Caenorhabditis elegans: one gene and its partners. The protein of the gene in region 3 interacts with the protein of the main gene of each other region in a pairwise test. Each region holds a gene or a part of one and is shown on either strand. Other genes may lie near its edges.

Region 1 (9,225 bases), on a different chromosome or scaffold from region 3:
TCTCCAAGGCCCGATACACCGTCAGAACTTTCGGAATTCGCAGAAACGAAAAGATTGCTGTTCATTGCACCGTTCGTGGACCAAAGGCTGAGGAAATCCTCGAGAAGGGACTCAAGGTCAAGGAATACGAGCTTTTCAAAGAGAACTTCTCTGACACTGGAAACTTCGGTTTCGGAGTTCAGGTTAGCTTAAAGTTGAAGTGTTCAAAAGTGATGATTATTTTGTTTCCAGGAGCACATTGATCTCGGAATCAAGTACGACCCAGGAATTGGAATCTACGGAATGGACTTCTACGTCGTTCTGAACCGCAACGGAGTTCGAGTTTCCAAGCGCAGACGTGCACCAGGACGCATTGGACCATCCCACCGTGTCGATAAGGAGGAGACAATCAAATGGTTCCAGCAAAAGTACGATGGAATCATTCTGCCACCAAAGCCAAAGGTCAAGAAGAACTTCTTCCGTCGTCGTTAAGTTTTTCTATTTTCTGAATAAACTGTTGTTATTAAAAATGAAATTGCTAATGTTTTGTTAAAGTTGTGAATCATAGTCTGATTGTCGTGGATCTGAACTTCAACTTCCTGGAATCAATAATTTTACGTTGCGAATGGTCTTCTGATGTAGAAAGTTCAGGATATTTATCCAGGAATTTTGAAAACTCATCGAAAAGGAGTTTGGTATTTTGCTAACGAGCTGGTCGTAGAGGTATCGAAACTTCTTTGAAGATCCTTCAGACAGCCATAATTTTTAATTAAATTTCAGCATTTGCAGATTCGAGTCAAAATTAAAAAAAAAAAGTTGATATTTTCAGTCAATTTATCATAAATATGCAGGGCAGACGTGCAAATAGACAATCTCAAAGTATGGCAACACATTCGGGGGAAGTACGATTATTGGACTGGGGGCAGAGAGGACAAAATCAATTTGATCTTGAAGATTCACAAGAATTATCGGGGGAGGGAAAGGCTTCTATAAAAATGCTATAAACTAAATGGGACGGAGAGGAGGGGAAGTTATGGCGATAATTAATTACAATGTTAGTGCATAGAAGAATTATTCGCTCTTCTCATTCTCATATGGTGCTGGAAGAGAGCTCTCGAACTGGTCGATTCCCCAGATTTCACGAGCGTATTCGGTGATTGTGCGATCTGTTGAGAACTTTCCGGTCGAGGCGATGTTGTAGAGGGCCATGCGAGACCACTTCTCTTGGTCGCGGAATGTAGCGGAGACCTGAAAATAATTTATTTTGATCAGTAAAAATTTGAATTAGTTGAATTTTTTGAGTTTTACCTTATCCTGGGCTTCAATGAAAGCGTCGAAATCGGCGCACACCATGAAACGATCATGATAGCGGAGCATGTTGGAGAGATCCTTGAGCTGATCTGGATCTTCTGGAGTGAACATGCCACCTTCGATTTGCTCGATGATCTGCTTGAGCATTGGGCTCTTGTCGATGAACTCCTGCGAAGAGTATCCGCGCTTTGTGAGCGCCTCAACCTCCTCGACGTTCATTCCGAAGATGAAGATGTTCTCGTCGCCCATCTCCTCGGCCATCTCAACGTTGGCTCCGTCGAGAGTTCCGATTGTGAGAGCTCCGTTCAACATGAACTTCATGTTTCCGGTTCCTGAAGCCTCGGTTCCGGCGGTCGAGATCTGTTCAGAGAGATCAGAAGCTGGAATGATCTTTTCAGCCATCGAGACACGGTAGTTCTCGAGGAAGATGACCTTCAAACGATCACCAACGATGGCATCATTGTTGACTTGTTCGGCGACGGCGGTGATCAAACGAATGATCTGCTTAGCCATATGGTATCCTGGAGCAGCTTTTCCTCCGTACAACACGGTACGCTTAACCATATCGATGTTCGGGTTCTCCTTGATACGATTGTAGAGAGCAATGACGTGGAGAATATTGAGAAGCTGTCTCTTGTACTCGTGGATTCTCTTCACATGCACATCGAACAACGAAGCGGCGTTCACGTTGACATTGTACTCGTCGCTCAAATACTGGGCGACTTGTTGCTTGTTCTCGAGCTTCACACGACGAATCGAATCGAGGAACCCGGCATCGTTGGCGTACTCCTTGAGCTTCTGAAGCTCGTCGAGATTGGTGATCCACGACTCGCCGATCTTCTCGACGATGAGGTCGGCGAGAGATGGGTTGGAGAGAAGAAGCCAGCGGCGTGGTGTGATTCCGTTCGTCTTGTTTTGGAAGCGATCCGGGTAGAACTCATAGAAGTCACGGAAGCTGGAAATGGATGATATTAATTTTTTAAAATGGTAATTTTGCAATTTGCGCGTAAGAAAAATTGGGCGGGCCGGGATTGCAATTTGCGGCGCGCGATTTAGCAACACCGCCGCACGATGTTTTTTCTCTTTCTGTCCGAATTTTCAATGACAAATTATCAATTTTTCGTGATTTTATCGAGTTCACATATCGAAATCTTTCAAAACATCATGCGAAAAACAGCCAAAATAAATTCGTGCGGCGGAGCTGCAAAATGATGCGTCGCCCATTGGTTCTAGCGCCAGGTTTCAGAGCATTTTCGCTTACGTGGAGCTCTTGAGAAGATCCGAGTGAAGAGCCGCGACTCCATTAATGGCATGAGAAGCCACAATGCACAAATGAGCCATATTGATGCGCTTCTCGCCGAACTGATCGGCCTCCTCGACAATCGACATACGACGCATACGGTCGAAATCTCCTGGGAATCTCTGCGAGATGGTGTTCATGAACTTCTGATTGATCTCGTAGATGATCTCCAAATGACGCGGCAACAAATTCTGCATAAGCGACACTGGCCAGCGCTCGAGGGCCTCTGGGAGCAAGGTGTGATTGGTGTAGGCGTAGGTCTTGATGCAAATGTCCCAGGCCTGATCCCAGGTGAGTCCCTCGACGTCGATGAGGAGACGGATCAACTCGGGAATTCCGATCGATGGATGAGTGTCGTTGAGCTGGATGGCCACCTTATCCGGGAAGGTCTCGAAGTTGACACGGACGGCCTCGCGGTTTCCGTAGATGGAGGACTTGAAGCGGCGGATGATGTCCTGGAGGGTGGCGGCGACGAGGAAGTATTGCTGCTTGAGACGGAGCTCCTTTCCGAGGAACATCTGAAAATGTGGGGAAATTGATTTTTTTTTTCTGCCAAAATCTAGCTCAAACATACGTTGTCATTCGGGTAGAGGACACGAGTGATGTTCTCGGACAAGTTACGATCCATCACAGCCTGCACGTAGTCTCCGTCGTTGAAGAACTTGAGGTGGAAATGATTTTCGGCTTTGGCGGACCACAAACGAAGCGTGTTGACGATGTTGTTCTTGTATCCGGGGACTGGTGTGTCGTATGGCATGGCAAACACAACTTGAGTGTCGATCCATTTCGATTTTCCCTGAAATAATATATTTTTTAATGAAAAATAAAAAAAGTAAGCGAAAAAAAGAAAAAAGGAATGGGCCGAACCGGGGATTGAACCCGGGACCTCTCGCACCCAAAGCGAGAATCATACCACTAGACCATTCGGCCACGATTAGATACGTGAAAGCTGGTGATGAAGAGATATCGAATCTTATTATTTCTCGCAATCAGCCAATTATCGATTATTGTGCATCTTGATTGCTTCCAAACACGATTTCCAAACATGGCCGAATGGTCTAGTGGTATGATTCTCGCTTTGGGTGCGAGAGGTCCCGGGTTCAATCCCCAGTTCGGCCCATTCCTTTTTTATTTTTTTAAATTTAATTTTCTCCAAAAAATCAAAACTCACATCCTCCTTCACAACTTTTCCATAAAAGTTGACCGGAAGCATGTACTCTGGACGAGCCTTCTCCCATGGATTTCCGAAGCGAAGCCAATCGTCTGGCTCCTCAATCTGCCATCCGTCACGAATAAGTTGCTTGAAGATTCCGTACTCGTAGCGAAGCCCGTATCCGTAAGCCGGAATACCCAGCGTGGCCATCGAGTCGAGGAAACACGCGGCGAGACGTCCGAGTCCTCCGTTTCCGAGCCCGGCGTCCTCTTCGATCTCCTGAAGCTCCTCAATGTCTAGACCGAGCTGGTAGAGCGCCTCGTCGACGGTCGCCTGAATTCCGAGGTTCATCATTGTGTTCGACAGCGTTCGCCCCATGTAGAACTCCAACGACAGATAGTAGACCCGCTTCGGATCCTTGTCATAGTAGTGTTGTTGAGTTCGTATCCAGCGAGACACGAGATGATCGCGGACAGTGTTGGCGAGCGCGAAGTAGTAGTCGCGATCGGTGGCCACGTTACGATCCTTGATGATCGAGAAGTGAAGGTGGCGATTGAACGCCTTCTTGATGTTCGACACGTTCTCCACTTGAGCGATTCCGCGCACGGAGATCTGCTTGCGACGATCGTGATCGTTGGTGATCATGCTGAACAGCTTCGGACTCGACGATGAGGCAGTCGATTCGGCAACCACGGGCTGCTGAAAATTGGAAATTGGTTTTTTTGGGAGAAAAAATGAGCGGAAAGTGGTGAAAATTATAACTTGTTCGGCTACTGTGATAAGAATGGTGGACAAACAAAAATTTCGAACACTGCAGGCAATGGCGAGTCAGGCCAGAAAACAAAATGTGTTGCGAGATAGTAGTCGACGCAGTACAAAGTCAACAGGAGGGGGGCAGTTCAGTGATCAGTCAACAATCAATATTGATAGCAGGGGCCGGCCCCGTGATTTCCAAGATGAAAGATTTTTGAAAAAAGTATGAAAGCCACGTGGATTTGCTATATTTTTCAAAAAAATCGCAAATTTCCGCAAAAACCTTTAGTTTTGCGAACTTTTCCGTGTCGCAGTTCGCAGAAACTAGCTTTTATTTGATTAACATCATTTATTGGGCATTTATCCAACGTTTTTTCATTGATCTAGGTGCATTTAAGCCGATAAGGGACCAAAAATGCCTCAATCAACGAAATAAGTGATGAAAATATGCAATAAAAGATGATAATCAAATAAAAGTTAGTCTCTGAGCACTGCGACACGGAAAAGCTGGCAAAACTGGGGATCTTAGCTAAAATTAGTAATTTTCTGCGAAGTTTTGATCCTATACAAGCAAGCATTCCTCCTTGAACCAAAAAAAAAATCGAAGAAAAAATATTTTCGCTGATCATTGAGGAGTGAAATGCATCGCTTCAAACTGATCAGGCTAAAACGTCGAATAATATCAGTGTTGACCGTGTCGGCGGTCAGTCAACATGCAGAAAACTACCGATAAACTGATAACGCGTAAGTGATAATAAAACAACAATCAGTAGACGACGACAGGATATTTCGGTGTATTTTTATCACCCGGTCGGCCCAAGAAAATCGAAAAAAAAATTAATGAAAGTGAGGGGCACTTTCTTCTGGGCTACGGAAGACTTTGTTCTTTGCTCACAGCCTTTTTTGTTTAGCCTGAAGCTTGAACTTTAAAGCTTTTCTACTTATGATTTTGTCAAAGAAAAGCATTTAATTGTCGCAAAACCGAATCTTCAAAGATTGTGCTGTCAACTCGAATTAATTAATTAAAATCTTGCGGAAATCTGTTCGAATATGGAAAAGACTATCGGTAGACATGGCCGCTTTGTGTTTGATAAACAATTCTTGTCACTGCCGATTTATCAATTCTTTTTCAACTGAGACGAGTGTGTGCACGTGAATGATCGATGCCATTGGAAATTGAGAAAATTTGAAAAAAAGTTCCGAAAACTTTCGGGGAGCTGCCACGCTTATGTGGAATCGAAAAAAGAGCATAGAGGCCCGAGCCATCTAAAAAAAATGGATGGGGAGAGGATGCGAAGGGGTTTGTGAGCGTGTGTGTAAAATGTGAGGAGAGGAAAACAACTCTGGGAGAAGCAGAGATGTAGAGAAAAATACATGTTGTGTGTGACCCCGACGGACACTGATAGGGAAACAGAGAGAGAGAGAAGCAGGCGGAGATTCAAATTTTTTGTCGAGAAGATGACGAGATTGAAGATTGAAAAATTGAAAAACCAAGAAATCAAGAGATTTTTTATTTTTTTTTTGGCGAGGAAAAATCTGTTTCTAGAAGCTTTAATATTAATTTCCCGACTTTCTTATCATCACCGCCTCCTGTTATGATATCAATGAGAAGACGGGCGGTGCAGCAGAACAACAAAACGGGTATTTTTCCGTTTTTTGAACACTGTATATGTACAGTGAGGACCAATCACCGCACAAACAACGCGACGAGCTGGAGGGGGCAAGGTGAACGATTCTTGAGGCGTATAGGTTCGATAGATTCCAATTTTCACCGTCGCTTATGAAATGAAATGACCAGTGAAACGAGAGCTGGGAGCCGAAGTCCTATAGAAGAGGAAGAGGATGGGCTGAAGAAAAGTGGCGGGAAAAGTAGACTGACATGTGTGTGTGTGTGTGTGTGTGCCGGCGAGAAGCGAAAAGGAGAAGCCTGAAGTGAAGCGTACGTGTTTTTCGGCAAGATTCAGCCGGCCGTTTCCCCATTTTGCACGCACACACTCACTTAAATCCCTGCCTGCTCGCTGTTTTTTTTCTTATGATTTTCTGGCTTATGAAGAGATGAAGCAGATGAAGCAGATGATGAAGAAGAAGCTTGATAGCATGAAATAATCAGCGAATTACTTACCGGGCGCACGTTGTTCCAGTTGAAGAATCCAAAACGAGCAGCAATATCCGACATTTTCGGTGTCACCGGCGGCTACGAAGGTGAACAGTGAAGAATGACTGATAAAAATTTGGAGAAGACAATCAAAAAATTGACGAAAACAAGTGGTTTATTGCACCGAAAATGCAGAAATTGGCGCCATGATTGAAAATTGGAAAACAAAATTTTCGCGCCAACAACACCGAGGGTACGGTAGGCGAGTACGCAAACACCGATGCGCACCGTACTCGCCGTAGCGGATTTGAATTTAAATTTAATTAAAAATAAATAAATAATTTAGTTTTTCTTGCTTGAAAAACAGTTTTTCCTAAAAATTGCAGATTATTTTAAAGAAAATTCATTTAAGATCAAATTTAGAACAAATTATATTGAAAACTTGCTTCAAAGCATAGAAAATTGGCCGTAACAACATAATATAACTGTTGAAAAAAAACTTTTTATCTCAATTTTTTAATGATTTTTTAAAAAGAATTTTGCAAGTATATAAGAAAAGTGGATGAATTAATTTCGAATTCCTGCGCAAATAAATGAAACGTTTTGACTTTTTCCCATTTTCTGTCAAAATTAATTGTTTTTGTTTTGATTTTTCGATTTAAAACACTTAAAACACCGTTCATCTAATTTTCAGATATTTTTTGCGTGAAGGAAAATTGATACCACTAGAAAAAAAATACCACTAGAAAAAAAAATTTGGCGTAAAAATCGATGATTTTACTTTTTTTCCGGAAAAAAAGTCTGAAAATTTGAAAGAAAAAGGTGATTCAAGCCAGAAATCGCTAAATTATCGTCAGAAATTCAAAAATAATTACCTTTTTTCGAAAAAATTGAAAAAAAAAATTATTTCAAATTATTTCATGAAACAACCTCTAGTTCAATAATAAAATATTATTAAAATGTTTAATACAATTAAAAAAATTCAATTTTACTGCTAAAAATTTATTTTTTTAAATAAATTTATATTTTAGATATTTCTGGAACACTACATCCTGAGAATGCGTATTGCGCAGCACAATTGACGCGCAAAATATTTCGTAGCGAAAACTACAGTAATCCTTCGAATGACTACTGTAGCGCTTGTGTCGATTTACGGGCTCGATTTTCGAAATGATTTTATTTTCGAACAGTGACAGTGATGACACAATCAAACCCGTAAATCGACACAAGCATTACAGTAGTCATTTAAAGAGTTACTGTAGTTTTCGCTACGAGATATTTTGCGCGTCAAATGTGTTGCGCAATACGCATTCTCAGGATTTAGTGTGTCCGTAATAAAATCTGAAGAAAAACTGCTAAAAAATGTCTTTTTTAATTAACAACATGTTGTTTAGTATTTTCTGGTATACTTAGTTATGCTGAACAGTTTTATGAAATAAAAAAGAATGACTCCATACCATTTTACCGTACTTTTGAATTTTTGAATATAACAGCTTTTGGTTAAGTTTTGAAATTTTTTAAAATAAACTTCCGTACAAGCTAGAGTATGTTGTTTGGTATTTTCTGGTATATTTGATTATGCTGAACAGTTTTATGAAATAAAAAATAATCGCTTCGGTAATTTAGACGCACATTTCTTAATTGAATTCGCATGGTTTAGAGTGTGATGAGGTAATTTTTCTGTGGAAAAATTTCCCTTATTTTTTGTAGATCAAGTCGCTATGGAACATCTTGACACCATGTTTGGAAATCGACGAAAATAGTTGAAATTTTTTGAAACTACGGTTTTACCGCCGATACCTAACGAGACCCAACTTGTAGGAGCGGAGCTTTGACGTTAGAGCGCGATTGCATTTTCGTGTGCAGCGCGGCCTATCCTCAATTTTTTTGCCTTTTTTAGAAAAAAAAAAGCGAACATTTCGCTGTTTCTTTTCGTCGCTCACAGTACACAAACACGGATGCTAGGCCAACTTGAACAGAATCAGGCACCCCCAGCAGGCTCAATAGCCCAACTGTGAACCAAGCCAGAGCCGGAAAAAAATAAATAGGGGGTCACAAGCGCACCGAGCAGAATATCCACGAAACATGTCCTAGAGCGAAATTTAAAAAAAAACAGTTTTTTCAATTTTGTAGAACTCACCAAAAATGTAAATTAAACAATGGCCATCGATAAGATGCCATTTGCGGTGGGGTCTTGAGCAGAATACAGTAACCGCCTAATATGTGAAATGATACAAGTACGGCGGTAATTGCGTGGGAGGTATAGGCCAGTCCTTGCCAACAACACAAGAACGTTTCGGATTTTGAACATTTGGAAAATTGGAGAGATAGAGACAATATTCTTGCAAGGAACTCATTGCCAGTCGGGTTGAAAAATAAGGAAGGATAGAATCAAAACAAATGTTAACTGAATTTCTTAGAATTCGATTGTTTCCCAAAACAAATTCTTGTTGGCAGCAGCTGGCATTTGTAGACACAAAACAAAACCTATTCCTTCAATTATACACGGATTTCTAGGCTCCCTCATATTTTGAAATAGAAGAGTTTGCCGAACTAGGCCATTTCGGTTCGGCCATATAGCTCAGCCACACGGTGCGCTGCGTGTCGCGTCGCGGCTCGATTTTAGTTGTAAAA
Region 2 (7,394 bases), on a different chromosome or scaffold from region 3:
GGAAACGTGTTATAGTATTGAACAGGAGGTGGGTTACTGCTGAAAAGTCGAGTTTTGCGCGTCAAATTTGATGTATTGAGTGGCATGATCACTATTATTACAAGACCGCGAAATTTTGAGAATGCGTATTGCACAACATTTTTGACGCGCAGAATATCTCGTAGCGAAAACTACAGTAACTCTTTAAATCACTACGGTAAAGCTTGTGTCGATTTACGGGGTTTCGGTTTTTTCATTTTTTTTGTGTTTTTTAAAAAACAATTTATCGACTAATGAATGATTTCCGTAAATCGACACAAACACTACAGTAGTCATTTAAAGAATTATTGTAGTTTTTGCTACGAGATATTTTGCGCGTCGAATATGTTGCGCAATACGCATTCTCAGAATTTTGTGTTGCCGTAATAATTCTGATTTAAAAATGGAATTTTCAAAAATCAGAGGTTTCCCAAAAATTTGAATATTCCACAAAAAAGATGAATCTGAAGAGTATTTTCAATTTTTTGAGAAAATAATCGATTTTCTGGATTAAAAAATTTGAATTTATAGATTTCTAGATTCTAAAATTTGAATTTGTGCAATTTCAAACAAAAATGTATCGATTTTTATCGACTTTTCATAAAATTTAATTTAATTTTCGAAATTCCGAAAATATTGCCCGTTTTTCATATACCAAAAAAGTTGTATCAATTTTTTCAAAAAATTAAATTTTCATCGATAGTTGTTTTCAAAGCATCATGATTTTTTTGAAAGAATTTGCAAATGTGAGAACTACAGTACTCCCTTAAAGGCGCACGCTTGTTTTTATTTTTAAAAAATTGGTCGTTTCGAGACCTGGTACCGTATTTTCGCATTTGGGTAATATTTCCAGCATTATAAATTTAAAAACAATGCACTTTTTAAATCTTGAATCCATATATATATTTTTTTCAGAAACTCATGCCGCCTCGTTTGGGTCTCGATTCGAATTTTTTTCACAAACGTATAATATTTTCTCGAAAAACCCGCGAATTTTTAACATTATCGATTTTTCTCTCACCTCGTCGATTGCCCTTCAGGAGTCATTATTCAGAATTGAGTATGAATTAAAAAATCATAGAAAAAGTCAAAGCGCTGTCAATTGGAAATTTAGGACGAGAATGTCAAAATTGCAACTTTTCACGATAACGGAATTCTATCGCAAAACTAGATAAGAGCTACAGTTTGCTGCGTGTAAGCGCGCTCCAATGACAAACGAGAAGAGAAGAGAAGAGGGGGTAACCGCCAATAGCTCTCTTTATCGAGGATAGTCTTCAAGTGACAGAAGAGATATTCTGTGGTGGGAGAGAGTTGGGTGGAAGGGGGAACAATGAGGACTACGGAAGAATGACTTTTAGATTTGGAGTATAGGAGAAAGTGGAGGTTTTGGCTGAAATTATTTTCAAAAACTTTAACTGTAACAACTAACGAGTAGATTTGAAAATGAGGATAATATTCAACACAACAGAAAAAAAGTCGATAGGTAACTAATAAAAATTAGAGAAAATGTGGCATCGGGGAGAAGTGGTGGAACAAAAGAAGAAACTGATGATGATGATAGGAGGATAGCCGCGAAACAAGCGATTAACAGTGAACAAGATTCATTTCGGTGAAGATGGAGAAGATAACAGCAAAAAAAAAAACACAACAAAAGTCCTTATTATTGCCCATTGAGAGTTTGTTGAAGGACACTGGTAAGGTGCTCGTCGATTCCATCTTGCTGCGCGAATTGTGGGAACGATGCGTAGATTTGCTTCAGGATTGTGACAATTCTTTGCTTGGTTTGGTTGCCGCTATCGTCGTCGTTGAAAGCATCGTTGGCGATTGAGAGCAAGCCTGAAAAATACAAATAAAAATAAAATAAGTTACGGATTTTTTTAGATTAGAACTTACAAACAAGGAAGATTCTCGGAAGATTCTGATTTTCTGGTCCAAAAAGTGCGGCGTCTTGTTTATCAAACAATTCGGCGAGACACGTGTAAATGTAGGGGCTTTCCTCGGTGTCTGAATATGTTGGCAACCAGCTCAGGAACATCTCGACGACCTGGAAATAATATGGAACTTTTTTCTTGAAAAACTGAATTCTAAAACCAACCTTTCCGTAGGCTTCAGCAGGAAGTGGCACATTGCCGATGATTTTGGCAAATGCAGAAATCGCGTTTTCCGTGGCAACAGTGCTCTCCTCGGTGGCTCGGGCGTCCTCTCGTTGAATCATGGCGGCCAGTGGCTCCAAACAGCTCAAAATCTCGTTTCGGTAGTCGCTGATCTGGTGGTAGTTGATGGCCATAACTCCGAAACCGTAGCTCGCTGCTTGTCTCACTTCAGGATACTCATCTCCCAACAACTTGTACATTATTGGAATAAGCTTCGGGAAGCGAGTTGGCATATGTCCGACACCGAACTCGATGGCGTCATCGAGAAGGCACATTCCCCATTGTCTCTCGAAGTATTGTTTGGATCCCTCGATGAGTTGAATGGCACAGTTGAACACGTTGATCATTCCCTCGAAGATAGTTCCCTTGAACTCCTTCATAAGAGAGTGAGTCAAATCAGAGATGGCTCCAAGGCATGAGGCCTCCAATTCCATGAAATAATCGAGCTCCTCCTTAGCTTCAGCATCATCGTCATCTTCATCTTCAACTGGACGATCGCTCATTCTCTTTCCGTAGTTTTCAAGTTGCTTGAGAAGCACCGAAATGATGAGTTGAACCTCTTCCTCGGCGATTCCCTCGGTTTTCATAACCTCAATGCACGATCCGATGGTCGTCATGAACGAGGCGAGAATCTCGACATCGTCCTCCTCCTCCATAGAGGTCGTCAATGCCTTCAAGAACTCGCACCACAAACGACGCTTGTCAGCCAATCCTTGCTTCTCAACACAGGTCAACAAGCATGGCATGATTTCAGCGGAAGCCGTACGAACTCCGTCGTGAAGTCCGAAATCGAGATTCTTGATGGCGAGCTCGTAGACGTCGACGACGTATGGCATGAAAGCCTCCTTCATCTCCTTGGCGAACGCGACAAGCATATCGCAAGCAGTTGCCTTCTCCTCAAGACCGCTGGTGCGGATTCCGACAGTCTTTTCTCCTCCGATTCCGTGGTATTCAACTCCTTCCTCGTTTTCGTGAACATCTTCGTCTGAAATTTATATATTTTTTTAACACGTAAAACTAAAAAACACTCACTGTTGAAGATATTGAAGTCTGGGCGGTAACGAGCGGCACGAAGAACTGGATCCATGACAACTGGGAGGAATGGTGCGAAATCGGCTCCAAGAATAGAGCAGAAACGAGTCCATGAGCTGATCATGTAGCTGTATTGTGGATCATCGATAGCCAAATCCTTCATTCCGTCTCCGAGAAGGTTCAGGATCTCGATTGCAGTAGCGTGGAATTGTTCCTTTCCGACAGCATATCCGATGAGAGAGATGCATTCGATGGTCTTTCCTCTCAACTCCTTGAGCTCTCCGACGTTTTGAAGAATGTGAACGAGGTTCGGGATGAGGCGAGCATGATGTTCCTTGAAGAGCTCCTCGGCGGCTTCAGCGACGGAGGCGATGGCGGTGACGATGTTCTCAACGACAACCTGGTATCTCTTGTCTCCGAGACGATTGAACACAGCGGAAAGCACATTTTCGAGTTTCTGAAGAATGAATGGAAGATATTGTCCAATGATGCTCTTTGGGCACTCCTCGGCAAAGTTGACAAGAGCCGAAGCGGCATGAGCACAGACACGTGGAACATCGGTTCTGTCAAGAGACTCGAGAAGAGCTGGTATGACGGCGGCGTGGCACTTCTTCTGAAGAGTTGGAGCGAAGTCAGAAGACATTTGTCCGATGGCGTTGCAAGCCGCGTATTGAACTCTTGGATGAGCATCATTGACGTAATTGGTGATATGAGCCATAATTTGCTCTATGTGTGGTTCCATAGATCTTTGGCACCCTTCACCGACGGCGGAGAACGCGCGAAGAGCCGCGTGCTTCATCTTCCAGTCTTCGCTGGTCAAAAGCTTCTCGACAAGTGGAAGGAACACTGGGAGCATCACTTTTCCGTTGATGCAGCAAGCAACACGGTCGATGGCGCTTTCGGCGATGATTGGGATACTGAAAAATAATTTAATTGAAGAAAAACTAAAAATTTATCCTTACTCTTCATAGTCTTCTTCCTCTTCGATCTCGTTGAGCCACTCATTGAGCACATCGTCATCCATTTCGGTCATGCATGAAAGAAGAGTCTCGAGAATTGGTCCAAGAGCTCCTGGTGCGTATTTCTTGAGTCCTTTTGGTGCGGATTCCATGTACGAGCAAATAACTTCGATGGCGTTCTGACGGACCATCTCGTTCTTTTCCTTGTTTCCAGCAATCTGAAATTTGAAAAAATGAAATTTTTAAATTGGGCCATTTAAATTACTTACAGCAAGAGTGACTTGAAGAACCTGAGACATATGAGTGTTAAGGCATTTTGGCAGAGAAGAGGCGAGCTCGGCGAACTCTCCGAGTGGTCCATCTGAATCATCCTCGTCGCTGGTTTCATTGCAAACTTGAAGAACATTTGGAACAAGAGAGGTCATAAGCCTGACAACATCCTTCTCCTCATCATTATCAACAGCGAAAGCGATAACAGCACGGACGGCGGTGGCCTTGATTTGCAAATCCGGTGTAGCCATGCACTTTTCCAAGACAACTTTGAGGGTTGGAAGGAAGTGGGCCAGCCTGTTTCCAAAAATTATTGGGCATCCGCGAAGAATAAGCAGGGCTATGTAGTTTCCGGTAAGATCCTCGCTCTTCAAACAATGATCCATCAGCTCGAGGACTCCTCCCCATGTCATATCTCCAGAATCGTCGATGAGGTTTGAAGCGATTTCAGAGATCAAATCAGCAATCTTCTTCTTAATCGAGAGTTCGGTCTCGTGAACTATCATCTCGAGAACTTTGGCGAGAATGCGCTGTTTGTTCTCCTCGTTCAGCGTTTCCCAAATCGCATCCCAGTCTCTGGCGAGAACTCGTCGCAGAAACACCAAAACTGTGGATCTGGCCTGAAAATCGAAAATTCATGGAATATATAGGAATTTGAGTGAACTAACATCAGAATTATTCGTGTGGTGTGTGTAGGCCTCGAAAAGTGCAGCTACTTTGGTTGGTCCTTCAATCTTTTCATAGACTTCTTCAGCTTGTTTTCGGATATCATTGTCTGCTGACTGCAGTTTTGTGATGAGCTCAGTGAATTGATTGACGTCCATTGTAGGGAACCCTGAAAATCAGAATATGTGCTAAAAATTTCAAAATTGAGAAGGAAAAAGATGAAAGCGAGTCGGTTTTGCAGATAAACGCCTGGGGAATACGCGGAATCGCTGAGGAAAATAGATTTTTAGTATAAAAATTGGCATTTTCAACAAAAAACCTATCGGAAAATGTGAAAAATAGGCCAACAAATATTGAATTTTGGGACAAAAACGCCTCGAGTGCACGATTCTCAACGGAGCGCACTTGCTGCGTCACACGCACTTTAAACTGTACACGGCGGGAAGTTCAAATTTTAAAAGGATTCACGTGATTTTCACGACATTTACTGGTTTTTTCAGCGAGTTTTCGCAACTTTTCGGCGACAACCGATGATGATTTATGTTTGGAATATGATGATGGTAGCGTGTTGCGAAATAAAAAATCGATGGAATGAGTCAGCGAGAAACTAATATTTGCATAGAGAACTGTTTGCAATTTTGGCATTACATTGGCCAGTGCACTGACAAAAAAAGAAAAAAATAAACGGCAAAATCTCTAATACCTATTCCAGGCAACCAGTGTCTGGCGACGATGGAGAGTAATTCTGAAAGAGACGCAGTTGAAAAGAGTGTGTTTTTCGCTTTTTTTTTCAGACAGAAGAGTAAAAAGAGTAAATACGTATCAGTAGTAAAAACAATGTGCGAGCTGGGAAATCAGTAATAATTAACTACTTGTGATACAAATTCCTCAAGGAATGAAGGAGAAAGTGTACTTTTTTTGAGACCCGAAGAACTCGGGGGATGTCCAATTGGGGGGATTACCAACTCGGGGGATTGGCCCCGCCCACAGAACCGTGGCTTGCAATACGCCCATTTCTGCAACTGCCGCACGGTTTTAAAACTGTATTTTTCTCAATAGAGCGAGAATTAACAAGAAAAAATAATTTTAAAACCGTGCGGCAGTTGCAGAAATGGGCGTATTGCAAGCCACGGTTCTGTGGGCGGGGCCAAACTCCCGAGTTGGTAATCCCCCCAATTGGACATCCCCCGAGTTCTTCGGGTCTCCTTTTTTTTAATTTTGAATTGAAAAATTGTCCGAAAAGTGCAAACGTAGAACATCAAAACCAGTGGAGGGGCGAAATTTGATAGATCGCAGGTTGCAAGAATGAGCATTCTACGAGTTTCGCGCCATTTCTGCGTAGCGCGCACAATATTGTGCAATAAATCTCGGTATTTGCGTACATGCATCATATCTTACGCGCAAATCATATTGGAAATTTCCCCGAAACACGGGGAGGCAAAGCTAACGTGGCTGAAGAAATTTCTACAGTAGTCCCATTTGGCTGACTGAATATTCAACGCGAATAAGTTTTGTACACTATTGCGTACTTTGCGTACGCGCATTTTATTTGACGACAATTCGTCAATATCAGCTCTGGCTAAAAGCGCTTTTCTCATTATTTAAGCGAATAAAAGTCGAAAAAAAATGTTTTGTGATAGAGAATAGTAATTTAAAAAATAAAAAAGTGCATATTTTATGTTTCTCATTATGTTTCCACTGATTTTCTGAGAAAAACCGAAAATTTCCTCTTTTTTCGATGAATTTCAGCTGAATAGTTTGTTTTTATCTAGTTTTTCTTCCGATTGACTGAATAACACATTTAATAACATCAATATAACGTTTAAAACATTCATTGTCTCGAAAACCAATATAAAACTCGTCAGAGAGGGATACTTAGTAGATATGCTGAACAAGGAAAAGAGAGAGAAGAACATTAACCGAATGGGGAGGGGGGAATAAGAAATCTGAACAGGAACGAAATATAAAGAACATTATTAGAAAGAACAAGCATGGCTTGATCTTCTTGGCAGTCGTCTCCTTATCCTATCACTTCTTCTCGGCGTCCTTCTGATCATGCTACCGAGCAACGTGGCACGATCGAAGAGTTTCACAACGGTTTGATACTTTCGCTCCACGAGGGGGCTCCCAATTCAGCGAGGGTCCTCTCACGAAGTTTAATTTTTTAAAATTAAAAAATAAGTAACACCTCAAGAATTCCATCGAAGTTGTGCTCCTTTGCAATAAGACGAAATTTTTTTTTACGGAATTGAACAGGATCATTGAGGTACGGCATGAAAACGGCTTCCTCGTTGAA
Region 3 (7,238 bases):
ACTGTCCAAATGTATTTTTCTGTAGAAAAATTCAAAATGTAGATGTTTATAGATGGTTTTAACCGGAGTAACATCAAAAGCAATTCGAAAAGGAGATGCGGAACCTCCGCTATCAAAGGGATCTTTTCGTGTCTACAACATGAGATTCTGTCCATGGGCTGAAAGAGCAATGCTTTATGTTGCAGCTAAAGGAATTGAGTGAGTAGTTTATTTATTTTATTAGTTTCTAAAATAGACATATGAAAAGTACTTTTTTAAGAAAAAAACCATTGAATTTTCAGAGCGGAGGTAGTCAATCTCAACGTAACTGACAAACTTGAATGGTACTGGACAAAACATTATCAGGGAAAGGCTCCAGCAGTAGAGCACAATGGAAAAGTGGTCATTGAGTCTGGATTTATTCCTGAATATTTGGATGATGCATTTCCAGAAACTCGTATTCTTCCAACTGACCCGTACGAAAAGGTGCAACAAAAGCTGCTAGCGGACAGGTTAACTGCGGTTTGGTTTTATTTTGTTTTTCAAAAGAAATAAAAAGTGTTATATATAAAAACAATAAACATGGTTTAAGACTAATGCAATGGCAATTATTTACCATTAGTTTCCTTCTATCCTAATTTTGGAAGTCGTCCAAAAAATGATTGTTTTATACGAGTTCTAAATTTCACTTTCCGAAATGCTCGAAATTACTAAAAGCACATTATTCGAAATTTGCCAATTTACCAGAACTTTAACTAAAACTTTTAAAATAAAAAAAAAGATCTGCACGTCTCTACAGTTGTTTTGAAGGCGCAGCGATACCAATACCTTTAAAAATGGAAGGAAACATACATAGTTTCTAATCCCCTTTTTGAACTTCCTCTAATATAAAAAATCAGTTATTCGCTCCGCCCATTTTTCAACCAATCAGATGAGTGTTTGGAGTCCAAAACTCTGATTGGTTTGAGAGTGGGCGTGGCTATTCATTTTGGAGGAAATTCAAATATGATCTTGAATTTTTCTATTTTCTAAACTATTTTGTTTTAAATAAGCAATTCAGGTAGCCCATGCAGTTCCATTGCTCTTCGCCGTCATGCGAGACCGAACTTTGAAAGATGAAAAGCAGCGAAAAGTTTTTGAAGTTTTGAAACAAGCTGAAAATCTCTTGGCCAATGATTTTTATGCTGGTGAGTTCAATTAATCGATACAATTTTTTGACCAAATTCAAACTATTCAGGATCTCAACCAGGTTATCCAGACTACTTATCATTTCCATTTTTTGAGAAAATTTGGTGGTCAGCTAGTTTGGATGGAGTTGTCGATTTACCAACAATTGAATTCCCAGGAGAAGAAGAATATCCTAAATTGACAAAATGGTTCCAGAAAATGATTTCTTCAGATGTTGTTCAATCCGTCACCCAATCTTTGGAACATGGCGCTGCATTCATGAACGCATATGCCACGCACCAGGAATTGAATTATGATTTGGGCCTTTGATATTAAAACCAGTCGATTTATTTTTAAGATTGAATAAAAAATGAAGGACGTAATTAAAAAACAATCAAAGAAATAGTGGTAATTCGTCGGAAAAAAAGTTATTGTACAGTCAGTAAAGTACCATAACGAACAGAAGAAAAATACTTGGCATCTAGAAGTTAATTAATTGATACAGTAAAATGAAAGTATAGCCAGAAATCGAGATACAAGTAGAGACAATGAGGAATGTTTAAATAAATTAAGATGGTTTTCGGGAGATTTAATGCAAAAAAAACAATAATTATAAATTAGGCATCAAGAGCGCCAGCCTCCTTGAACATTTCACAATGCATATCTCTTTTGAGTAGTGTGATTTTCATCGAGTTGATTCTTTCCTCGAGTGGCAGTTCCATGTCCTCGCTGACCATGACATTTCCGACATTACACATAAAGAGGCACGAAAGGAAGTATCGACTGATTTCGTACCATGGACGATCCATAACCAAATCTAGTAAACGTTTCGTGCCACCTTCAATATCGTATTGGCCAATGACAGCACGACCAACTGCGTGAACCTGAAAATTATTATAATTGAGAAATTCAAACATTTAGACATTTTGACTTTTCAAATTACTGTGGTTGACCAGAATATTAAAGGTGGAGTAGCGCCAGTGGGGAAATTGTTAAAAACCACTCCTTTGGTTCCAAAATGACCAAATATCATGATAAAACTTTTGAAAATTTTTTTATTTACTGTCAAAAACTGGCAATTACTCAGTTTTTGCCACTCATATGTTTGGAAGTCGACCAAAAAAATTTATTACATTTTTTATTGTTTTAATTTTGTTTAAATTAATTGTATTAAAACATTGTAGGGGTCGAAACATACGACATTTCTTTAAATAACCTCAAAAGCTCATATTTTTCAAAATTTTGGCAATTTGCCAAAACTTTGACCGGAAATTATGAAAAATCTAAAACTTTTTGGAGTGTTTTATTATGATATTCGGTTGTTTTGAATCACTATAAGTGTATTTAGACAAAATCCCCACTGGCACTACTCCACCTTTAAGATTAAATACTCTAAAACATACATCATACTCTTTTCGAGTTTCTCCTTCTTCGAGGATTGGTTCCATTCGAGAATGCCATTTGTCAACATGTTCTTGTAGAGTTGACACGGCAACATCCACATCTTCATATGCTTTAGCCATCTCGTAAGCCATTTGTTCGCGATCTGTTCGATTTTCAGCAAACTTCTTGAGCAATGGTAAAGCTTCTGTAAATAGAAAATTTACTTGATAGACTTGAGAGAGTACAATTTCAAAGTATTAATTTTAAAATTTTATTATAAAATTTTGCAAATAACTTACTGTCGATGAGCAAATTTCCAGGTAAATTGATAACACTGTTCAGTTCGGCATCATCAATATCCTCGAATCTTAATGGAACATATTCAGCAGGCGGAATATCAAAATCTGTTTGAAGAGCATCGAATTCTAGGTTGTTTGGAGCCATAGGAGGCCGTTCACCACGTGGCCGCACGTCTTCTTCGTCGTCATCGAACCCACCTCCAAACATTGAGAGCTCGACTTCGGCAGCAAGATCTTCATCGACTACGTCGTCATCTGGAAAAAATATAATTCAGTTTAAATTTCATAAAATTGAAATTTCTTACATTCAGCTCCGAGGGTTCTTCTATTAGACGTTGGAATATCCTCTGTTACCGGTTCAAATTGCTCCACGGGTATCACACGAGCTGTCCGTTTTCTCTGCATATTCTGGATACGAGCTTCTCGGATTTTTGCAGTCTTTTCCTTGATTCTTCGTTTCTTCTCGGCTAGAATAGCAGTACGAAGTGATTCTATCTTCCAGTCCTTAATCGGATTTATACGAGCCGCACTTCTCCAATAGTAGTAATCCTGCAGATAGTCGTGAGTTTCCATGAACTCGTCTCGTCGAGACTTATTGATCTTTTCCTCACGTCGTTGCTTCCTAGCCAACATTTCAGCGGGTTTTGGTTGGAATTTCGTGATCTTTTTTACCGGCTTGCTAACGACTGAAATATATCATTTACTATATATAAAGCGCTTATTCCGTTTGTCCATAGCTTGTAGTCTATGTAGTCTTTGTAGTCTGCGAAGTTTTAGCTTCTGGAGGGATAGTGAGTTGGGGTTAGTGTAGGGATATAGTCGGGGTACTGTAGTGGTACAATGGTGGTACGGTAGGAGTACTGTATGATTACGGTAGGAGTACTGTATGATTACGGTAGTTTCAGAAAAATTGGTTTTCAGCTCCAGAAGTCGGGGGCCGCGCCGGAGGTGCGGTCCACGGCTCATATATATATATAATCTAAAAAATACCGAAAGAATCCCATTAATTCAACAAATACCTGGCAGATTCTCGTCTCCCGTGTACCAAATAATATGATTTTTATCCAGCTCGTCCCATGGTGCCGGTGCTCGCTTCTCATCCCTTCTGGACAAATTTCGAATATAATCATCGTCGTCATCGTCTCCTCCACCACCAAAATCATCATCAAAGTCCATGGGCGCGTAATTCTCATCAGGTCTTCTACTAGTGTTTGGTTCATCGTTTTGCATAACAGATCCAAAGTTATCAACGAACATATCAACTAAGCCAGTGGTAAGATGAGTGCTCGGGCGATTCTTATTAACTCTTCCCTCCACAAATGACAAGAAATCATTCAAATGATTACTCTGTCGATGTCGTTCAACAAATGGTTGTGAGAGACGAGTTGGTTGAGATCCAAAGCCTTGAGAATCTCGAAGAGTTTTAGCTGCAATTGTGATGGCTCTCGATGTGGCACGAGATTGAATTTCTTGATTTTGACGAACTGCTTCTTGCTCTATGAACCAACGAGGAGGTGGAACAACTTCACGGCCAGAGAGAGGATCCTGAAGAAATCAAGTTTTGAAAATGTTTCATCGAATTATTACCACTTACCTTAAACGGTCCATATGCACTGATCTTCTCATGCTCTTGCTCCAAATCTAACTCAACTTCCAAATCAGCAACACCAAAATTAGCTGCCAATTCCTTATTATCTGGCATCCAACGAGCACCAGGTAGTGTGAATTGGTCTAAATTTCCACGATAACAATCATGGGAGTAGAGTATTTGTTGATCGTGTTTAACTTTCGACTTTTTAATTTCAAAATCTTTTACTTTTCCGATAACATCAGGACGAGATTTTGCATTCAAAATTTGTTCATCAGTACGATTGAGCTGGCCGTAATTGAGCTTGAACATGAACTGGGTTGGCTTTGCTACTAAACAGCTTTTTCGCTCATATTGAGACTCTATAACTTCAGCATTCTCGACCATTCTCACTGCATCAATCGATTTTTTCTCTTCTTTTACTGTCTTCTCAAAATTTGCTAGAGCTTCCTGTTTCAGTGAGTCGATATCAGCCAAGTCGTAATTCGTCGATCCCAAATTAAAATTTTTCCGTCTTCCAGCTCCTCGTCTACTGCCGGTGTTTCCATCATCTTGACCTTTGTTCTCGACTAAATCCACAACTGAAATCGTCAGTTCATAGACATGATCTACTTTTCGACCATATACGGCACACGATCCTTGAATAATCCGGCATGCTCGTTGAAAATCGAACAATCTGTAAGTTGTCGCTGCATCCACCTGATTATCTGTGTCTTCACTTTCTTGTCTGATAACCTCGAGGTATCCGGCGAGTGCCTGAAAGTCGAGCAATTATTTATTTTATTTACCGAAAAAGAAAAGATACAACCGTGAAAAAAAATTATCCTTACTTTCAACACGTCGATTGAGAAGTTCTCGACAAGATCTTTTGCGGGTGTGACGAGCCATGCTAAATCTGTCGATTCTTGACCTGGAGGAGCATTCCTAGTCATTTGTACCTGAAACAACAATTCCAATGCTCTGGCGATGATTAACTATAAAAAAGATATAGAATGGTACGAAAACCATAAGGAAGTTATAAAAAACCTGAATAGTATTTTAAAAACGAAGTATTTTATTTTGATTGAAAAGAAAACAGGAATCTAATCTATTCGAGAAAGAAATAACAATTTTAAGTATTTTAAAGTTTCTTTTGTTCTGGAAGTTTCAATCCAACAATAGCAGCAGCCTCTTCAACACTCTTCTCGCCACCCTTATATCTCTCTTGAAGTTCATTAAGCTGTCGGGTTCTAAAATGAATGGATATTGATTATTACTTTCTTATTCTCATAAAACAAACGAACCCTTTAATATAGCTCAAATAGAGTTTTGCAACGCTCTCTGACTCGTTCTCGGCTTTTGAATATCTTCTTGTTGTAACCTGGTCGGCTTTCATTTGCTCCATGAGGTATTTATATTGTGCCGAATTCGGGGAGAATGTTTTGTCGACCTTTTTCAGTTCCGAAATGATGTTTTTGATGGTGTTGAAAGCGGTCACTCCTTTTCCAACAGCAGAGGCCATACTTTAATTTTGAAAATGTACAAAAAAGGGATAATAAATAGCACAATAACACAATTCAGACAAAAAAAGAAAACAGGAAAACGTTCTCAATTCAAACTGCGCGCGTGAGGCGCGCGTTGTTTAGCGAAACGCGGAGCATCGTTGCGGTACCATTTGCGCGGAAGTTTGAATCTAGTTTTTTGTGGCAATTGATTTTGACATTTTCCAATAATGTGGTAAATTATAAAATGGTACATTTATTTTAATAGAAACATGCCCAAGCAATATTAAATACTTTTTGAATGTAATTAATCAGCCTCAGTGAAAATAATCTGTTGAAATATTATCCCATTCGGAGATGCCAAAATTTCCAGTGCCAATCACGAATAAAGTGTCATTATTTGTCTGAAAACATTATATTTGAAATTCAATTGATTATTTTAATAACCTTATTTAATTGTTCTTCTGGAATTTCCACTGAAGTCATCACATGATGATTTCCGAATTTTATGAAGAGATGCGAGTCCAGTAAATGAATTGAGAATTTATAAAACTTTCCAAATTCTACTTTTCTTCGTGCTTTGAATTCAGCAATTATTGAACGGTCAACGAAATCGGAAAATATAGTTACTTTTTTATTTGAAAATTCAATCTCAACAAATATTCCACGACAGTTTATTACTTCTATGTCACATCCTGAAAATGTAATAGATTTTAATATGAATCACAACACTAATTACATACCACTACAATTACTCCTTATACCTAGAATGATGGATTTAGCTGTTGAGTGTTTTGGAATATTGACCTCGGCGTTTAGAATACTATTCTTCTTTCGATACCTAAATGGAAGGAATACCGTATACCGTATTTCCTCTATTAGTTTTGCACCCCTTTGCTCAACTTTGACACCTCATATCTCCTTTTTGGACATATAAATAATTAACAAACTACAAACTACAGAAAAAACATCTATCTAAATTTTTATCAGTTGACAACTTTTCTATAGAACAAACTACTACTGAGATATGAGCTGCCAAAGTTGAGAAAAGAGGTGTAAAAATATTAGAGGGAATACGGTATACTGTAGTTCCTCATAGGTCAAAGTCATCAATTCTTACGCCATAACTGCATATGGAGTTCGAATGTGTGAGGTGCACCAACTAATTGATGGGCGTGTCACTTTCTGTACCGCCCGTCCATTTCGTACCACCCATGATCCTTTTTGTGGCATCCAAAACTTTGGCTCCTCGTCGAATTCATAATTTTCAAAGTCGTCGTGATAATTCAAAGGAACCAATGGTGTTTTTATAGTAACTCTTTTCGGAGTTGAAACTGGAAG
Region 4 (7,227 bases), 4.5 Mb from region 3:
AAATTGCATTTGGAATTGATTGAAGTAATGCAGCAAGTGTACTTTCATTTGAATGTATTGAATCTTCAGATGGTGAACGACGTCGACGATTTGATGGAGATTCAGTTGATGAAAGTCCGAGGCCTAGAAGATCAGCTTCAGGGATTTCAGACATTATTGCTGACGAGGATTCCTGGAAATTTATTGAGTCTCAGAGAGATTTTTACAAAATGTTTGACCATTTGTTTCTTATTTTTAGATGAAAATAACATGTTTTTCCTGTTTTATTGATAAAAATTGTGTGTTTAATTGAAAAACGTTTTTTCATTATTTTCCTGAAAATAGCTTAAATTTCAGACATTTTTCTAATTTTTCAGAAGAAAAAAAATTTTCTCATAAAAAATTTTTTTTTTTGCGAATTTATCGATTTTCGGGAAAACCGAATTTTTATTTTTCCGATTTTTTTGGAAAAAAATAGCTCAAATTTTGACATTTTTTTCTTTTTCAGAAAAAAATTATAAACATAATTTTATTTAAAAAAATTTAATTTTCGTATCAATTTTCTACATTTTTTAATTTTCGATATTCTCTGAATTTTTAAAATTCTTTTTTAAGAGAAACAGGATTTCCTCTTTTTTAAATTTTTCGACAAAAAAAGTCATTTTCGATCATTTTCGTAAAAATGTGACCATTTTCAACGAAATCTCTGATTTTTAATGGTTTTTCCCAATGAAAAAAAAAATATTTTTTGGTATTTTTTGAGTTTTCTTGTAAAAAACATGGAAAACATACAAAAATGTGATTTAGATGCGGAAAAAATATATTTTTTTTGCAATTAAATTGATGCAAAACTTCGAAAAAATGGCGAAAAATTTTAATAAAACCTTAAAATTCGTACATTTTAACGGTCTCACAGCTGCTGGAAATAGATTTTTATTTAAAAATCTCTTTGTTTCGCATATTTCTGCTGTTTTTGGTACATTTTTTGGATTCCGAACTAAATCTCACAAGAAATTGTTTTTCAACAGTAAAAATCCATTTTTCCGGAAATTTTCACGAAAATGGTTGGAAAATAATAGTTTTTCGACGATAAATTCAATTTTTCGAGAATTTTTCATGTTAAAACTCTCACAATAGAGGTATTTGCTGGATTTTCAGCTTTAGTTTCTCCTGATTCTCCGGTGAATCTTTTAGAAATCGACGCGGATGCATCACTGCCAGCAGGCTGCTCATTCTGCAATTTTATCGATTTTTTCTCAGTTTTCAGTGGATTTTTACCATCGCCTGCCGATATTGTCCAACTTGAGCGGCGAGTTGTTCTCCATACTGCTGAGCTGATTGTTTAAGCTTTCCGGCTTCATTATCCAGCCGGTTTTTCAGGTTTTTGAACATTTAAACCTGAAAAAATCGATTTTTTAGTGGGGAATTTGCAATAAAATCGAAAAAAAAAGTATTTTAAAGGTTAAAAACCATATTTTTAAGAAGAAAAAATCATGAAAAGTTGAAAAAAATTCATTTCAAAAAACAAAAACAGAAAAAATAACAAATTTTAATCAAATTAAGCCTGAGATCCGTTTGAGAGTTTTCTTTTCAATCCGTTTTCCTTCGATTTTCCCAGATTTTCACAAAGTTTGATAGTTTTCACGGACAAATCGATCATATCAACAGCGTTGGCAATGGATTTTGACAATGATTTCGGATCTTTTGATTCGATTTTTCTGAAAATTAACTTATTTATTTAGTTATTCGAATAGAAAAACTATTACATGACTACAAATTCGCCTTCGCTGCACACTTCCCGTCGAGCACCACTTCTTCTCGGCTCTTTATCGATTTTTATGACATCTGCCACGGTTCGAGCCGCTTCTTCTGTTCCGACGGATAATCGTACGCTTCTGGAATTAATCGGATTAGAAACTGCTGTTAGAACTTCAGAAAATGTTAATTTTGAAACAAAAACATTTAAAAAACAGTTTGTTTTTTGTGTTTTTTAGCGAAAAACTCACGCTGAGTGGATATATGCCGTGCTCGGAGAGCTTGGGTCACATTCGTCCTCTGAAGATGACGATGAGCTTGTGTCTACTTCCATTTTGTTGTTGTAATCACTAAAAAACACAATTTTGAAAGTTTCTGATGAAAAATCAATAAATTCGCTGAGAAAAGTGAATAATAAATGCTATTCCAGGCAAAATTGACATTTCAAAAACCGAAAAAGCCATAAAAAACGACGGAAAATATCAAAAATCCTGTTTTTCGCCTGAAAAACCGGTATTTTCCATGAATAATTGCCAACTCATGGTTAAAGGCGCGCGTGTCGATTTACGCAACGGGTCTCGCCACGGCGCAGGAATTTGAACTTTTTTCGAAATTTGCGAAGCTTGGCGCCCAATTTCTATTTATTTTAGACTGTTTCGCCATAGTTTTTCCGTATTTTTACGAAAAATAGCTGGAAAACATTTTTTGTGCGTTTAAAAGCATATTTTATACAGAAAAGACTAGTTTTAAAGGTAGGAAAGCCCTATTTTAAGCAGGGAAAGCGTTGGCGCGAAATTTCGAAATTCAAATCCCTGGCGCGAATTCTTTGAAGTATTGCTGCTAATTTTCAACTAAAGAGACCGCAGTATTCGTCTTTTTATCTCGCTTTAGCTTGAAGTCTCTTGAATTGTTTACCTGATATTTTTCATATTTCAGCTCTCCTTTCGCAATGAGCGATCAGAAGCCGGTAAGTGAATCTTTTCGAATGTTGCTCAACATGATTCACGGTATTTCAGAATATGGGGCGCATTGTCGCCAGCGTCGTGGATGTGCAGCAGTTGATGACAATGCAGTTTGACTCGCTTATCAAAAGCATGGACTCGTTGAAGGTATGCGATTCATGAAAAACTCAATTTAATACTTATTTTTCACAGATTGAGCACCAGACCGGCGTCACCCAGCTTCGCGATGATATTCGTCGATCCGAGGATCGGTTTCAGAAGCAGTTGTCCGATTTGAGCACTAATCACGGAAAAGAGCTCGAGAGACTTCATCAAATTATACACACTCTTCTTGCTCGTGATGCGAATCCTCTCGGCTCAATGATTCCTCCACAGCAGCTTCAGCAACAACAGCAAATGTTGATTCTTCAGCGACAAATGGAGATGGCTCATGTGCAGGCAGCACAAGCTCAAGCTCATGCTCACGCTCAAGCTCAAGCCCAAGCACAGGCCCAAAGCCAAGTTATGGCTAATTTGCTCAATGCTGCGAAGCCAGCTATTCCCGTTACACAGCCACTGGTCGCCACTACAGCACAAGCAAAATCGACAGTTCCAGCTTCTGGAGTTATTGCACCAAAGGTAACAAATTTTCGGGTTTTAGTTCCAGCAATTAAAAATTCAATATTTTTCAGACATCTCCACCAGAAGTTGTAATTCCACCTGCTAAGCCAACATTCTCTACTCCAACGCCTGCAGTTGTTCCAAAGCCAGCCACCACCGGATTCTCATTCGGCGGGACCAATCCAGCTACTTCAATCTTCGGTAAAAAGCCTGAAACTGCTTCCCCAGTCGTGGTTCCAGCAGCTAAAGATGATGAAGACGAAGAACATGATGAGGATTACGAGCCAGAGGGCGAGTTCAAGCCAGTCATTCCACTGCCAGATCTTGTCGAGGTGAAAACTGGAGAAGAAGGAGAGCAAACCATGTTCTGCAATCGTTCAAAACTCTACATTTATGCCAACGAGACGAAGGAATGGAAGGAGCGAGGAACCGGCGAGCTGAAGGTTCTCTACAACAAGGACAAGAAGTCGTGGAGAGTTGTTATGCGACGAGACCAGGTGACCATTTCGGAGGAGACACTCCCTTCAAATATTGAGAATGGAACCGAAGAATTGTGTTGGAATATTCAGGTTATTCCAATTACAGCTTTTTTCACATTTTTCGGCGTTTTCCTCAACAGAAAGATCTTAATTTAAATTTAAATACCTTAATTTAGCATTAAAATAAATTACAGGTTCTCAAAGTCTGTGCCAATTTCCCAATTCTCGGCTCGATGACCATTCAACAAATGAAATCCAACGAGAAGGCCTACACATGGTTCTGCGAGGACTTTTCCGAAGATCAGCCAGCTCACGTGAAGCTTTCCGCTCGTTTCGCTAACGTCGATATCGCTGGAGAGTTTAAGACTTTGTTCGAGAAGGCTGTCGCTGAGGCAAAATCATCGAGCAACGCTGGAAAGACCATCGACAAGGAAATCAAGCCGGCGGCTGAGGTGAAGAAGGAAGTCAAGCAAGAAGTTGTGATTCCATCAAACAACAAACCGGAAGAGACTGGATTTGGAGATCAGTTCAAGCCAAAACCAGGATCTTGGGAATGCCCTGGATGCTATGTTACTTGCAAAGCTGACGAGATTGAATGTGCCTGTTGTGGGACATCGAAAGACGGATCTGTCAAAGAGAAAAATATATTCTCTAAGTAAATATTCTATTTGAGTTATCTTAAAATTAAAAATTTAAATTTGCAGACCTTCGATCCTCCAGCCTGCCCCAGGAACTCCAAAAGTGACATTCGGATTCGGAGCATCTGCTCCAGCCAAGGAACCTCTTGCTCAAACATCTCAGTTCGGTGGATCACTCAGCGGATCTCCAAGCACTAGCAGTAGCATTTTCGGTGGTGGAACACCAAAGGGAACAAGCGTTTTCGGTGGAGGTGCTGCTAATACTCCAACTTTCTCATTCAACAAGCCAGCTGCCGCTGTCAATGCAACTACCCCATCGTTCAATTTCAACAATCCTGCAGCTTCAACTGCTTCTCCGGCAACCTCTACGACTCCAGGAAATTCATTGTTCGGAGGTGGACTCTCCAAGACTGAATCTACAGCTTCTTCAACTACTACTCCGTCGTTTATGTTCGCCAAGAATTCTGAAAGTGCCTTCCCAAAGCCAACTTTCTCATTCGGAAAGCAACAGACTCCATCAACGACTGCACCAGCTAAACAAGAAGAAAATAAACAGTCCGAGACGCCAAAATCCGTGTTCGGTAGTGGATTCACGTCTGGAGGTGCAACATTCGCTGCCCTTTCAGCCAACTCTGCCAAATCTGGCTCCATTTTCGACGCAGCAAATGTCAAGAAGGCCCAAGAAGAACTTGCTGCTCAGAAGAAGGCAAGCATTTTCGGGAGCAAGAACACCACGTTGAACACGACTTCTGCAACTTCACACGATGGTGATGAGACGAATGAGGATGGAGATGGGGAGTATGAGCCAGAAGTCGAGTTTAAGCCAGTTATTCCTCTTCCGGATTTGGTTGAGGTGAAAACTGGTGAAGAGGACGAGGAGGTCATGTTCTCCGCCAGATGCAAGCTTTATAAGTACTATTCGGATCTCAAGGAGAATAAGGAACGTGGACTCGGAGATATTAAGGTCAGATTTAGGATTTTATATCAAAATGAGCCAGCTTGGCATGTTCTTTTGATAGTTTTCATTAAAATTTAGTGATAAAACGTAGAAAATAACTTATTTCAGTTGAAACAGTTAAGAAAAGTGCTAGTTTTGCGCACTTTTCAACTGTTTTGCAAGTATTTTCTATGTTTTTTCACTAAATTTTAATGAAAACTATTAAGAAAACAACTGATTTTTGACTCATAGAGGCTAAATTTGAGAAAAATAATTTATTATTTCAGCTCCTGAAAAGCAATGACAACAAATATCGAATCGTGATGCGTCGTGAGCAAGTCCATAAGCTCTGTGCCAATTTCCGTATCGAAAAGTCGATGAAGCTCAGTCCGAAGCCAAACTTGCCAAATGTGCTCACATTTATGTGCCAGGTAGCAATTTTTAATTTCTTTTTATATAAAAATGTACTATAAATTCCTTATTTTTCAGGACTTCTCAGAAGACGCCTCCAACGCTGATCCAGCCATCTTCACCGCCAAATTCAAGGACGAGGCGACCGCCGGAGCATTCAAGACGGCTGTTCAGGATGCTCAATCGAAGATGTAATCCTCTGCTGATTATTTAAATTATTTTATTATTGTTATTCCTCCCCACCCAGCACTCTGTGTTAGTATTCCCCACCACCAATTTTATTTATGAACCTAGTTTTATTCATCCCCATCTGCTGTCATCTATAGTCCTTTAAGTGTAGTTTATATTTGTCTGGTAAGGTTTTTAAAAAAATAATTTCCTTATTTCCCCCCCATCTCTCTCAAAATCCCATTGTTCTCATAAGTACCCCCCACACACTATCATTCATAATTTTTGTCTTTAAAACTTAACTATATTGTTCACATTGTCCCGGCATCGATTTTTCCCCACTGGTGACAATCCAATAAATTGTGAATGCATTGAAGAATGAGATTTATTTTGAGGGCGGGAAACAAATAAATAGGGATTAGGAAAAAAAAGAAATAAATTATCGTTTTATTTGATCATCAAGATGGGTGATATCTGAGAAGACGAGAACTTTCGATGGAATTGTACGCTGTGGGCAGAGAATTGACATTGTTCGCTTCTCCAAATCAACCTGAAATTTGGATAAAATTGAAATTTCCGTTCGAGACCCAAAAACTCGACGAAATACCAACCTCCGTGACAAGACAAAATCCAAAAACCGGCGATTTCAGCACATTTTCGTCGGCTTTCGTGCTCCGCGAGAACGCGAACAAATGATGTTTAATGTCGGCACTGGGCTCCATGATAACCAGCTTTGTCTCATGATTTTCAACTTCCATTCCGAATGGTAGACATGAATCGGGCAGTTGCTCGGCTCCGATTTTACAAAGAGTGACGTCATCGAAGCTGACGTCAAATGTGAATGGGTAGAGATTGTTGGCACGGGTTCCGTAGAAATACTGCAAAAAAAAAGTTTTTTCTTAACAAGTTAGGCTTTAAAACACTGAAAAACCAAAAAAAAGAAAAAACCCGCAAGTGCGGTAGGGTTGCGGAAAAACCGTGTCAGACAAATAAGTCCCGCCCCCTCAAATAATAATTTTTCGAATATTTAAGCTCTAAAGCCAGTTTTACTCGAATTTCTAGACCATAAAATACAGAATTCTTTGGAAATGTTTTATTTTTAGAAAAAAAATGCCTGAAAGGCCCAGGGACAATATTTTCGTGAAGAAAATTAATTTTTCAGCTCAAAAATTCAAATATATATATTTTTCCGATTAAATCAAATGTTTTCCAATAGAAAATAGACAAAAAATACAGAAAACTTGTCAAAATCACTCAAAAACTGCAAAAAATTTCATAGAGCGGAGCCTTTTAGCACG

What was found.
Region 1: the proteins of kle-2 (region 3) and pygl-1 interact in a two-hybrid assay, tested with the Caenorhabditis elegans proteins (one large-scale study listed by BioGRID).
Region 2: the proteins of kle-2 (region 3) and imb-3 interact in a two-hybrid assay, tested with the Caenorhabditis elegans proteins (one large-scale study listed by BioGRID).
Region 4: the proteins of kle-2 (region 3) and npp-9 interact in a two-hybrid assay, tested with the Caenorhabditis elegans proteins (one large-scale study listed by BioGRID).

Annotation. Positions count from the first base shown.
Region 1 is NC_003283.11:3,576,615-3,585,839, reverse strand, and holds pygl-1 (Alpha-1,4 glucan phosphorylase), read right to left. Parts: upstream 6,699-9,225; 5' UTR 6,673-6,698; coding exon 6,619-6,672; intron 4,454-6,618; exon of another isoform or gene 4,443-4,453; coding exon 3,762-4,442; intron 3,710-3,761; exon of another isoform or gene 3,638-3,709; intron 3,521-3,637; exon of another isoform or gene 3,449-3,520; intron 3,387-3,448; coding exon 3,165-3,386; intron 3,109-3,164; coding exon 2,552-3,108; intron 2,246-2,551; coding exon 1,288-2,245; intron 1,228-1,287; coding exon 1,051-1,227; 3' UTR 798-1,050; downstream 1-797. Other genes in the region: rpl-11.1 (Large ribosomal subunit protein uL5A), read left to right, coding at 1-182, 232-471.
Region 2 is NC_003279.8:309,723-317,116, forward strand, and holds imb-3 (Importin N-terminal domain-containing protein), read right to left. Parts: upstream 5,268-7,394; 5' UTR 5,257-5,267; coding exon 5,101-5,256; intron 5,053-5,100; coding exon 4,432-5,052; intron 4,381-4,431; coding exon 4,166-4,380; intron 4,121-4,165; coding exon 3,204-4,120; intron 3,157-3,203; coding exon 2,114-3,156; intron 2,063-2,113; coding exon 1,912-2,062; intron 1,855-1,911; coding exon 1,679-1,854; 3' UTR 1,259-1,678; downstream 1-1,258. Other genes in the region: C53D5.5 (Gamma-glutamyltranspeptidase 1), read right to left, coding at 1-39, 1,040-1,065.
Region 3 is NC_003281.10:7,939,833-7,947,070, reverse strand, and holds kle-2 (Condensin-2 complex subunit kle-2), read right to left. Parts: upstream 5,355-7,238; 5' UTR 5,349-5,354; coding exon 5,247-5,348; intron 5,173-5,246; coding exon 4,423-5,172; intron 4,374-4,422; coding exon 3,848-4,373; intron 3,515-3,847; coding exon 3,134-3,514; intron 3,084-3,133; coding exon 2,829-3,083; intron 2,735-2,828; coding exon 2,550-2,734; intron 2,031-2,549; coding exon 1,764-2,030; 3' UTR 1,478-1,763; downstream 1-1,477. Other genes in the region: gsto-1 (Glutathione transferase omega-1), read left to right, coding at 53-198, 282-501, 1,040-1,166, 1,217-1,476; C29E4.12 (Protein FMC1 homolog), read right to left, coding at 5,537-5,645, 5,700-5,917; C29E4.10 (Putative galactocerebrosidase), read right to left, coding at 6,215-6,301, 6,345-6,592, 6,641-6,738, 7,018-7,238. UniProt on the Caenorhabditis elegans protein: Regulatory subunit of the condensin II complex, a complex that seems to play a role in prophase chromosome condensation and in chromosome segregation in mitosis and in meiosis.
Region 4 is NC_003281.10:3,399,720-3,406,946, reverse strand, and holds npp-9 (Nuclear Pore complex Protein), read left to right. Parts: upstream 1-2,670; 5' UTR 2,671-2,683; coding exon 2,684-2,701; intron 2,702-2,750; coding exon 2,751-2,843; intron 2,844-2,888; coding exon 2,889-3,314; intron 3,315-3,367; coding exon 3,368-3,865; intron 3,866-3,969; coding exon 3,970-4,430; intron 4,431-4,479; coding exon 4,480-5,377; intron 5,378-5,637; coding exon 5,638-5,781; intron 5,782-5,839; coding exon 5,840-5,956; 3' UTR 5,957-6,303; downstream 6,304-7,227. Other genes in the region: golg-4 (GRIP domain-containing protein), read right to left, coding at 1-172, 1,112-1,213, 1,258-1,371; F59A2.5 (L antigen family member 3), read right to left, coding at 1,538-1,697, 1,746-1,874, 1,986-2,068; Protein clpf-1, read right to left, coding at 6,369-6,479, 6,541-6,807.